2 linked regions of the Diceros bicornis minor genome follow. The protein of the gene in region 1 interacts with the protein of each later gene in a pairwise test. Links are inferred from orthologs where the notes say so. Each region holds a gene or a part of one and is shown on either strand. Other genes may lie near its edges.

Region 1 (3,749 bases):
CCTGCCCGCCCACTCCTTCATGGCTCCTCCCTTGGTTGCCATGGGGCAAGGGAGGAGGGGACCGGAAGTAAACACACTACTCAGGCATCTGGGCGTGGAGGGGGTGCACTCTGCAGGGACAGAAGCCTGGTGGTTACCTCTCCAGTCTCCAGAAAGCTGGGGGTTGGGAGGGATGACTCCTCAGAAGGACATCTCAGACTGAGGCTGGAGGGGTGGGGGAAGACTGCTCCACCCCTTTAAGATCCTAAGGGTGAGAGCAAGAAGGAATGCTGCCCTTGTCCATCTGCTGAGGCTAGAGGGTGGGGGTCTGACCTCAGCCTCCCAACTCAGGCTCTGGCCCCTCCCCTCAATTTAGGAACTTCTCAGCTCCTCCCTAGTCCCAGCTAGGGACTGTTTGTAGGCCAGCTCAGGCACACACGCATCCTTCTTAAGATGGTTTGCATCTGACTCCCCCTCCTGCCCTCCCAGAGGTCCTGGAAAGTTGAAGGGGGAGGCTCCGGTGACAACATGCCAAACAGCCCCTCTGAGGAGTTAAAAGAAGTCCCTTGGGCTTTCTGTTTCCTACTTGCTCCCAGCTTTTTCTTCCCTTCTCAGCTAAGTTCCTTCTGGAACACTCAGGCACATCTCTGCCTGCCTCAAACACTTTTAGCCAAGGGATAAACTAAGTGGGTTGATGGTTTAATCTTTAAAGAAGTAGGTGATTTTCCCACTGCGATTTAACCTCCCTCTAGGGGCCAGCGTCCGGCACTGGTTCAATGAGGGCTTATTTCAGGCGTGACTACGATGGGCTGGGGGAACCTGGGAAGCAGAGTTGCAGCTAGAGCTGCCCGTCGTGGGTCCCCGGGAAGTCCATCCTGAAGTCCAGCTTTGATAATTGGGGAAGTGGAGCTTGGAACTCTCCCCTGGTCTCAAAGCCTGACTCTCCCCACCACCCTCCATTGCCCTCCAGCCCCTTCCTGCTCACTATGAGCTCTTCCCACCCCCACCCTTCATCTCGCTCTTGGTTCTGCTTTCCAGGAAAAAAAAAAAATGTTTCTGTTGGATCTGAAAGGCACCCAGGAGAGGAATCCAAGGAGCTAATGCGGAGGTGGGCCAGCTCAGGGGCAGAAAAATGACAGAGAGAGGGGCAGGAATGTGCTTGGGGGTAGCAACCCACACCCCGAGACCCGAGACCCGGGGACTTGAGAATTTGAGGGAGGGATCACAGTGGTTGAGCCTGAGCCCACAGGGTCACCTCAGCTGCTTCGGGTTGGGAAGGGGGCTGCTGATGGCTGCTCCTTCCTCTCGCTGGGCTGGCTACTGAGGTCAGCAACTCTGCCCTGATGGAGGGGGTGGAGGGTAGGGGCTCCAGAGAAGAGCCAACCTTCCACCCAAACCTTCAGCTCTCTGCCTGACTGTTAGTTGAGGTTGAAGGGAAGGAGAGATGGGGGTGATGGTCACTGTCTGACCCTTCTCTGCTGCTGGGTCCTCTCTCCACTGCCTCTCTGCCTCTGCTTCTCTCCGCTCCCCCAGGTCTATATCTTGCTGTCTCTCCTATGGGTCTACCCAGTACACATAATCCCATCCTGAGCTGGGTTTGGCTTTGGCAGTTCCCTGGAGAAGTGAGGGGTGGGGGATGGGGGTGACGTGAGCTCCTGAGGCCGCAGCCAGGCCTGGCTCCCTCTCTGGAACAGTCCCACCTCCCTCCTGCGCAGCTAGGCAGGGGGCCGACACCCCCCCCACTGCCCAAACAGACACACGTTTGTGCTTTCACCCCTTTTCATGTCCCTCATCTGGTGTGTCTCACTGCCCTTGGTGAGGGAAGGAGAGATCAGAAGTGGTTACTCTGGTGCCAGGCTGGACACTGGTCTAGACAAACCTGTGCCCCTCCTGGCCATACCTCCACACTGGCCACTGAGGATCAAGGAGGAGACCTGGGCAGGGCTAACCTTTCACCCCCAGAGGGACCTCCTTCTGGGAAATGGGTCGCTGCTGCAAGGGAGGAGACTGGACAGCATGTTTCAGGGCTGGCATGGAGTCCCCATCCTGGGTCAGAACTCCTTGTTCCTCACAGTGTGCTCCACTCCTGGGTCCTGGAGGACTATCCCAACAGGTGTCCATCCTTTCTAGTTATCAGTCTGAGCTAGATCAAGGGCACCCACCTGCATCCCTCCAAGCGCCCGTCCCCCAACTCCAGGACTGAAGGGGGTCCCGGGGGGCACACATCCTTAGAGGAGCGCAGGAGGCGCGTGCAGGAAGGTCCTGAGTAGTATGTTTGCCAACTTTTACTATGTGACTTAGTAGGAATTTTGGCTGATTCTCCGCCTGGGTGATGGGGCCAGAGTTCCAAGGGATCAGAACCCCCTCCCCAGGAATTCGACCCCAGGGACTGGAAGATCTTCCGAGGCTGTAAGAGCTGGGGCCGGGGTCGTGGCTGGGGGCCGACCTCGGGGCGCAGGGCGCAGGGAGCGGCGGCGGCGCGGGCGCGCGGGGCGGGTGGTCTAACCGGGCGGGGAGAGGGGGCGGCCGGGGCCGGGGGTCCCAGGGAGGGTCTGTACCTGCTCTGCGCGGCCCCGGCGGCCCGTTAACCCTTCTGCGCCCGGGCGCTCTCTGGAGGCAGCCTTGCTCCGCGGCGGCCACCGCGGCCCCTGAGCCGGGCTCCGGACACGGCCGCCTCCGGCCCGGCTCCGCCCCGGCGCCCCGCCCCCGCCCCGCCCGCCTGTCTGCCCGCCCGCCACGCGCCCAGCCCGCGCCCTCGGCGGCCCTCGGTGGGGGCGGCCCACCCCAAACCCCCTGCTCCCAGGGCCACCCACGCCGGGGCTGCGGGCCTGGCCACCCCTGCGTGCCGGGCGCCCGCCGATGGCTCGAGGGGTCCCAGCCCGGTTCGGAGGCAGCCGTCGCTCCCGGGCACTGTCCCTGGGCCGGTGCGCTGGGCCGGATCGGCGCTCGGGACTCCGGGACCCCGGCCCTCCGACCGGCTCCGAGTGGGCGGTGCGAGCGCTGCGCGGGCCGAGGCGGGGCGGCCGCGAGGGGCACCAAGGGGCTGGGTGGCGCCTGTACCCGAGCGGCGTGGCTGAGCGCCGGGCCCCAGATGGGGCTGCGCTCTGTCCCGAGACGGTCCCGCCCGACCCCAGATCCGCGTCGGTCGAGGCCCTCTCCTCCACGCAGCCTCTTATGCAAGCCCAGACATCGCTGCCTCTCCCAAGTTGGGCTGTGAACCACATGGTTCTGACTGCTCGGGGACGTCTGTGAGCCTCGCTTTCTTCATCCATAAAATTGTACACCGGGAACGTAGCGAAAGGAATGCGCTGACTTAAGAGTCAGACGATCTAGATTTGAATCTCAGTTCGAGTACTTGCCAGCTCTATGGTCTTGGATGAATACTTCAACCTTTCTGTGCTGCAGTTTCCTCATCTGTAAAATGGGGCCAATCTGATAGATATGATGGGTCTGGAGATATGTCTCTCTATTTATTTATGTCTGGAAGAATGCAACCCAAACTCGGAATTGGTGGTGACACCTGGAGAGGGGTGTGGGGCTGGGGGAGGGAAAAACAGGCTTTCACTTTTTACTCTATATGCTTATATGTTGTTTGAATTTTTAACCAAAAGCGTTATCTGTGTTATCAGTTATGTTAAAAAATAAATAATGTATATCAAATGGCTGACATGAGTAGACAATAAATGGTCACTACTATTTTTAATTTTTTTTTGCCATTTACTCATGAACCACAGTCATGTATTGTTGGATCTACTCAGTATTTTAAAGCT
Region 2 (3,749 bases), on another chromosome or scaffold:
GTAAGAAATCAGGAGACCAGGAACTTGATATTAGCACAAAGAGTCATGGAAAGTCCATGATTGATTCGTTTTGAATCTACAGGTGTGGGAAACTGACAAATAGTTGTAACAAAAATCTTCAACTTACTATATTTGAAAAGCTATACAGGAAAAGTCTGACAAGCTACCATTCCTTTAGCCACCTATTCAAATAAAAGCTGCAACATTACAGAGATAGAAATAAAGGCATTGTTTCCACATTTTTGTGGGAATGTTCTAATAAACCATCTGCTCATGTATAAACTATATAAGGTCACAACTGACTTCCAATTGACAGGCAATTTAAGATATCAGCAATTTACATTAAAAACAGTTGGCTTGAATTGAGCAAATATGTTTAAGTAAAGTTGAAAAATAAAAATTGCTATGAATCAGTCGGGATTTAAAAATAATGGATCTATATAAAACGCTACAAGCAAAGGAAAATGAAAAAATTTATAGGGAGGCACAAGTAAGTTCATCCATTGTTTTCTTTCTAAGTTTTAAAACTCAAGTAATAGCTGATATTGATTCAATAACATCCTTCCTCGGGGGAATACACATCTAGGTTTGGAAGTGGAGAATGGGGTTTTTTTGTTTGATTTTTAATTTTTAGGTTTCTTTTTAAGAATGCCTTCCTTACTAAAACTTAAGTACTTATTGAAGTGATTCATGAAAGCTCGTAGAAAAAGGAATTCTTACCTGACACATTATTTAACATGCTTCGTAGCTCCCCCACTGCCGTTCACATGCTCATGAACCTTATTTTACCAGGGAAATAATGGTCTTATTCACACACACACACAGACAACCTTCCACACAAAATGCTACCAAATCCCAGGAAACTGACAAAAGCAACATTAAGATTCAGTGCAAAATAAGAATTCCATTTCCAAATCGCATCTATGAAAATACAAGATTGGTCTCATTTAACCAGTTGTAAAGTTCCCTTTCTGCTTAATAAGAGTAGTAAACATCATCTTACCATTATCTGTAGAAAAAAATCAGCAACGTGTTGCTTCCTGCAGTCACCAAATCAAGTTTTTTCTTCCTTTCTTTCTAGTAACTCCTTTTTCACCAGCAAGATGAGGAAGAAAATAAATCTTTGAGTATTTGCCTCAGGATTTCAGACCACAAGCTTATGAAACTAGCTCTTAGTAAAAAAAAGAACAGATCTGGTATTTTACAATCACTTCTGCAACCCAAAGGTACCTCTTAGACTCCTGTCCCTCCTTTCCTCCCTCGCTCCCTAAGTTTCTTTTAGTAATGAGACTAATTTTTCCAGTAGCCTTGAACACCCTAGATTTAACTGACATGGAAAATGTGACTAAAAACTTGTAGAACCGTCTAGCCTCCAACCCTACACAGAATCAACTTTGTTGTAAGTGTTGAAGAACACCTCGCAAGCAGCTACTTGCTCCGTCAGACTCCTGCACCACACAGCACAGCACACCAAATAACAGTGCGCCATCTAGTTAGCAAGTTGCACTCTCCATTCTAGAAGGGGGGACACCTTCAAACCCTGGGAGTTAAGAACTTGTCAGGGTTCAGCTGCTCTAAAGGTCCAATTGTTTATTTAAATAAAAAAAAAATATCGCTACTGAGATAATCCACATCTAGTGGATATGGGAAAATTTAGGTTATAATGGCACTACAAACTTTTACATCTAACTTTGATTTACAAGATAAAAGCAAGTTTTAAATTAAAAGGGCTTTCTCTTAATAGAGCTTATTATTCTGAAGACGGGAATGATTTTCTTCGAAAGTTGTCCCTGGGTGCATGCCTATTATCTTTGCTTTTCCCCTTCCACTAATGAGCATTTATCTAAAGAGCCTGTTAATCCTCTGATGTGTGCTTCTGGTCAGAGGTAACAGTTTGAATAAAACCACTAATCACTGATCACTAAATCACTGATCATTAATCACACTCTCCAGTGCCGGGGACCCGGGCCATTTTTTCCTCTAGGTCTGTGCATCACAAACAAGATGTTTCACATTTTAGATGCACATGGATTGTGTGGGGTTATAGTATTTCACCTCTAGATGTTAGTAAATAGTAAATACTGCCACAAACTTGGGGAAGGAGGTCAATTAGACCCCAGGCAGGAGTTTCACAAATGCCTACTCTACAGCACAGCTTTCATTTTGAAGAAAGTAGATCTGATTATAACAAGACATGTGTTCATCAAGAAATTCCCACATACTCAGAACATAAATTTTCCTTTATTTAGCTTTCACTAACTCCAAATCAGAAAGCACCCAAATCTTCTGACCCCCCTCCATCCAAAACCCTGTTAGTAAATTTTTTATTTGATTTCTGCTGCACACTCACCCCCACTACTAAGATTTCTTTTTATTTTTATCCCTTAAATATGTTACACAGTGTTGTTATTTCAACTGCCAGATACGCAGATTCTGACTCAATTCAGTGACTTATGTATTTAACATCCTCTTTAAATACAGAAACTTAAGGTTAAGAGAAAGAAAGTAACACACGCACCAATTTATTGTATGGTACTTTGAGTTCAAACACTCACATTCCCTCACTTTGGAAATGAAACGTTTAATCTTGATCCTTTCAGCTAAATTTGATTTAGTCAGCATCCTCCCTTCGTCTTCCCTCCTCGGCTAAACGGTTGGAGGAAGGCGCTCTATAGAATTAAGCACTTTGTTTGCAGTGGGTGTGTCGTTTTCCTAAGTCACCACAGGGACACAGTATCATCATAACGTCTCTAAACATTTCCTAAGATGCCTTTTCTATCAGGGCTGAGCATTTTCGCCCTAGAGAAGAGGGCTTGCTGGTGCCTTCCTTAAATAATAGAACAGGGCAGATTGTGTGTGCGCTGATCAGGTACTGTGCTCCCCTCAGACGCCAGAAGCTCTTACCCACACTCCAGGGACAGTGATCGCCCCAGGGAAAGCAGTAAAAGGGGAAGGCGGGGCCAGAGTGATAACGGTGCGGGCGGGAGAGGGAGTGGAGAAGGAGGGGTCCGGGAGGAGAGGGCAATAAAGATGCCCAGGGAACAGGCAATTGTACGAGTATGTTGGGGGCTGGGGATGGAAAGCAGAGTTGCTTTGTCAGCATTTCTAAGCCCCCGAACCCTTGAGTATCTGAAGCTGTTAATCAAACACTTACTGGCCTGCAGAATGACGTAATGGACCTGTATCCAGCCTTTATTCCTTGACACATGTCAGAGAGGGAGGGAAAAATAAAAATCAAGCACACTCTGCGGACTCCGACAACGAAACATACAAGCACCCACTCCAGTGCCTGGCCTTGAACAAGCATCAAGTGAGTGCAGTACCCGTTCAAGAAAAGTTGGGGAGGAGGTGGGCAAGGTCTGGGGCTTTATCTACCAGATACACCCCCCTTCCCGCCCCCGGAAATAAATCTATGGCAAAGAAGAAGCGGGATGCAGATGCCGAGAAAAAACATCTCCTTGGTTCCTTCGCACGTCTTGCCGCTCTGAGAACTTCGCGAAAAGTTTAAGCGGTTCCGTGGAGAACCTGCCAGAGAGGAAGGCTCCAGCCGCCGGCTCCTGGAAACTGCCACCGCGCCGCCGCGGCAAAAGCGAGAGCTGTCATTTGAGGCAGCGGCGGGGAAGAGGTAATGATGCCAGCGAGAACCGGACGGAGGCAGGAGGCGGCTGGAGGAGTGAACGCGAGTAGAGCCTCGCCACTTTCGAGCCTTCCGCGCCTGGAGCGAAAGCCAAGTGCCGTTCAAGGGCGAC

The links. The genes of interacting proteins can lie anywhere in the genome.
Region 2: the proteins of ADAMTSL4 (region 1) and CREB5 interact in binary tests that used the Homo sapiens proteins (3 or more experiments, as listed by UniProt). The two-hybrid records come from large-scale screens. The link is inferred for Diceros bicornis minor from reciprocal best matches to the Homo sapiens genes ADAMTSL4 and CREB5.

The regions. Positions count from the first base shown.
Region 1 is NC_080743.1:54,979,141-54,982,889, reverse strand, and holds the start of ADAMTSL4 (ADAMTS-like protein 4), read right to left. Parts: upstream 2,647-3,749; 5' UTR 2,538-2,646; intron 245-2,537; exon of another isoform or gene 111-244; 5' UTR 43-110; coding exon 2-42; intron 1-1. UniProt on the Homo sapiens protein: Positive regulation of apoptosis. May facilitate FBN1 microfibril biogenesis.
Region 2 is NC_080742.1:53,090,886-53,094,634, reverse strand, and holds the start of CREB5 (cyclic AMP-responsive element-binding protein 5), read right to left. Parts: upstream 2,290-3,749; 5' UTR 1,007-2,289; coding exon 1,004-1,006; intron 1-1,003. Other genes in the region: uncharacterized protein LOC131399887, read right to left, coding at 3,368-3,749. UniProt on the Homo sapiens protein: Binds to the cAMP response element and activates transcription.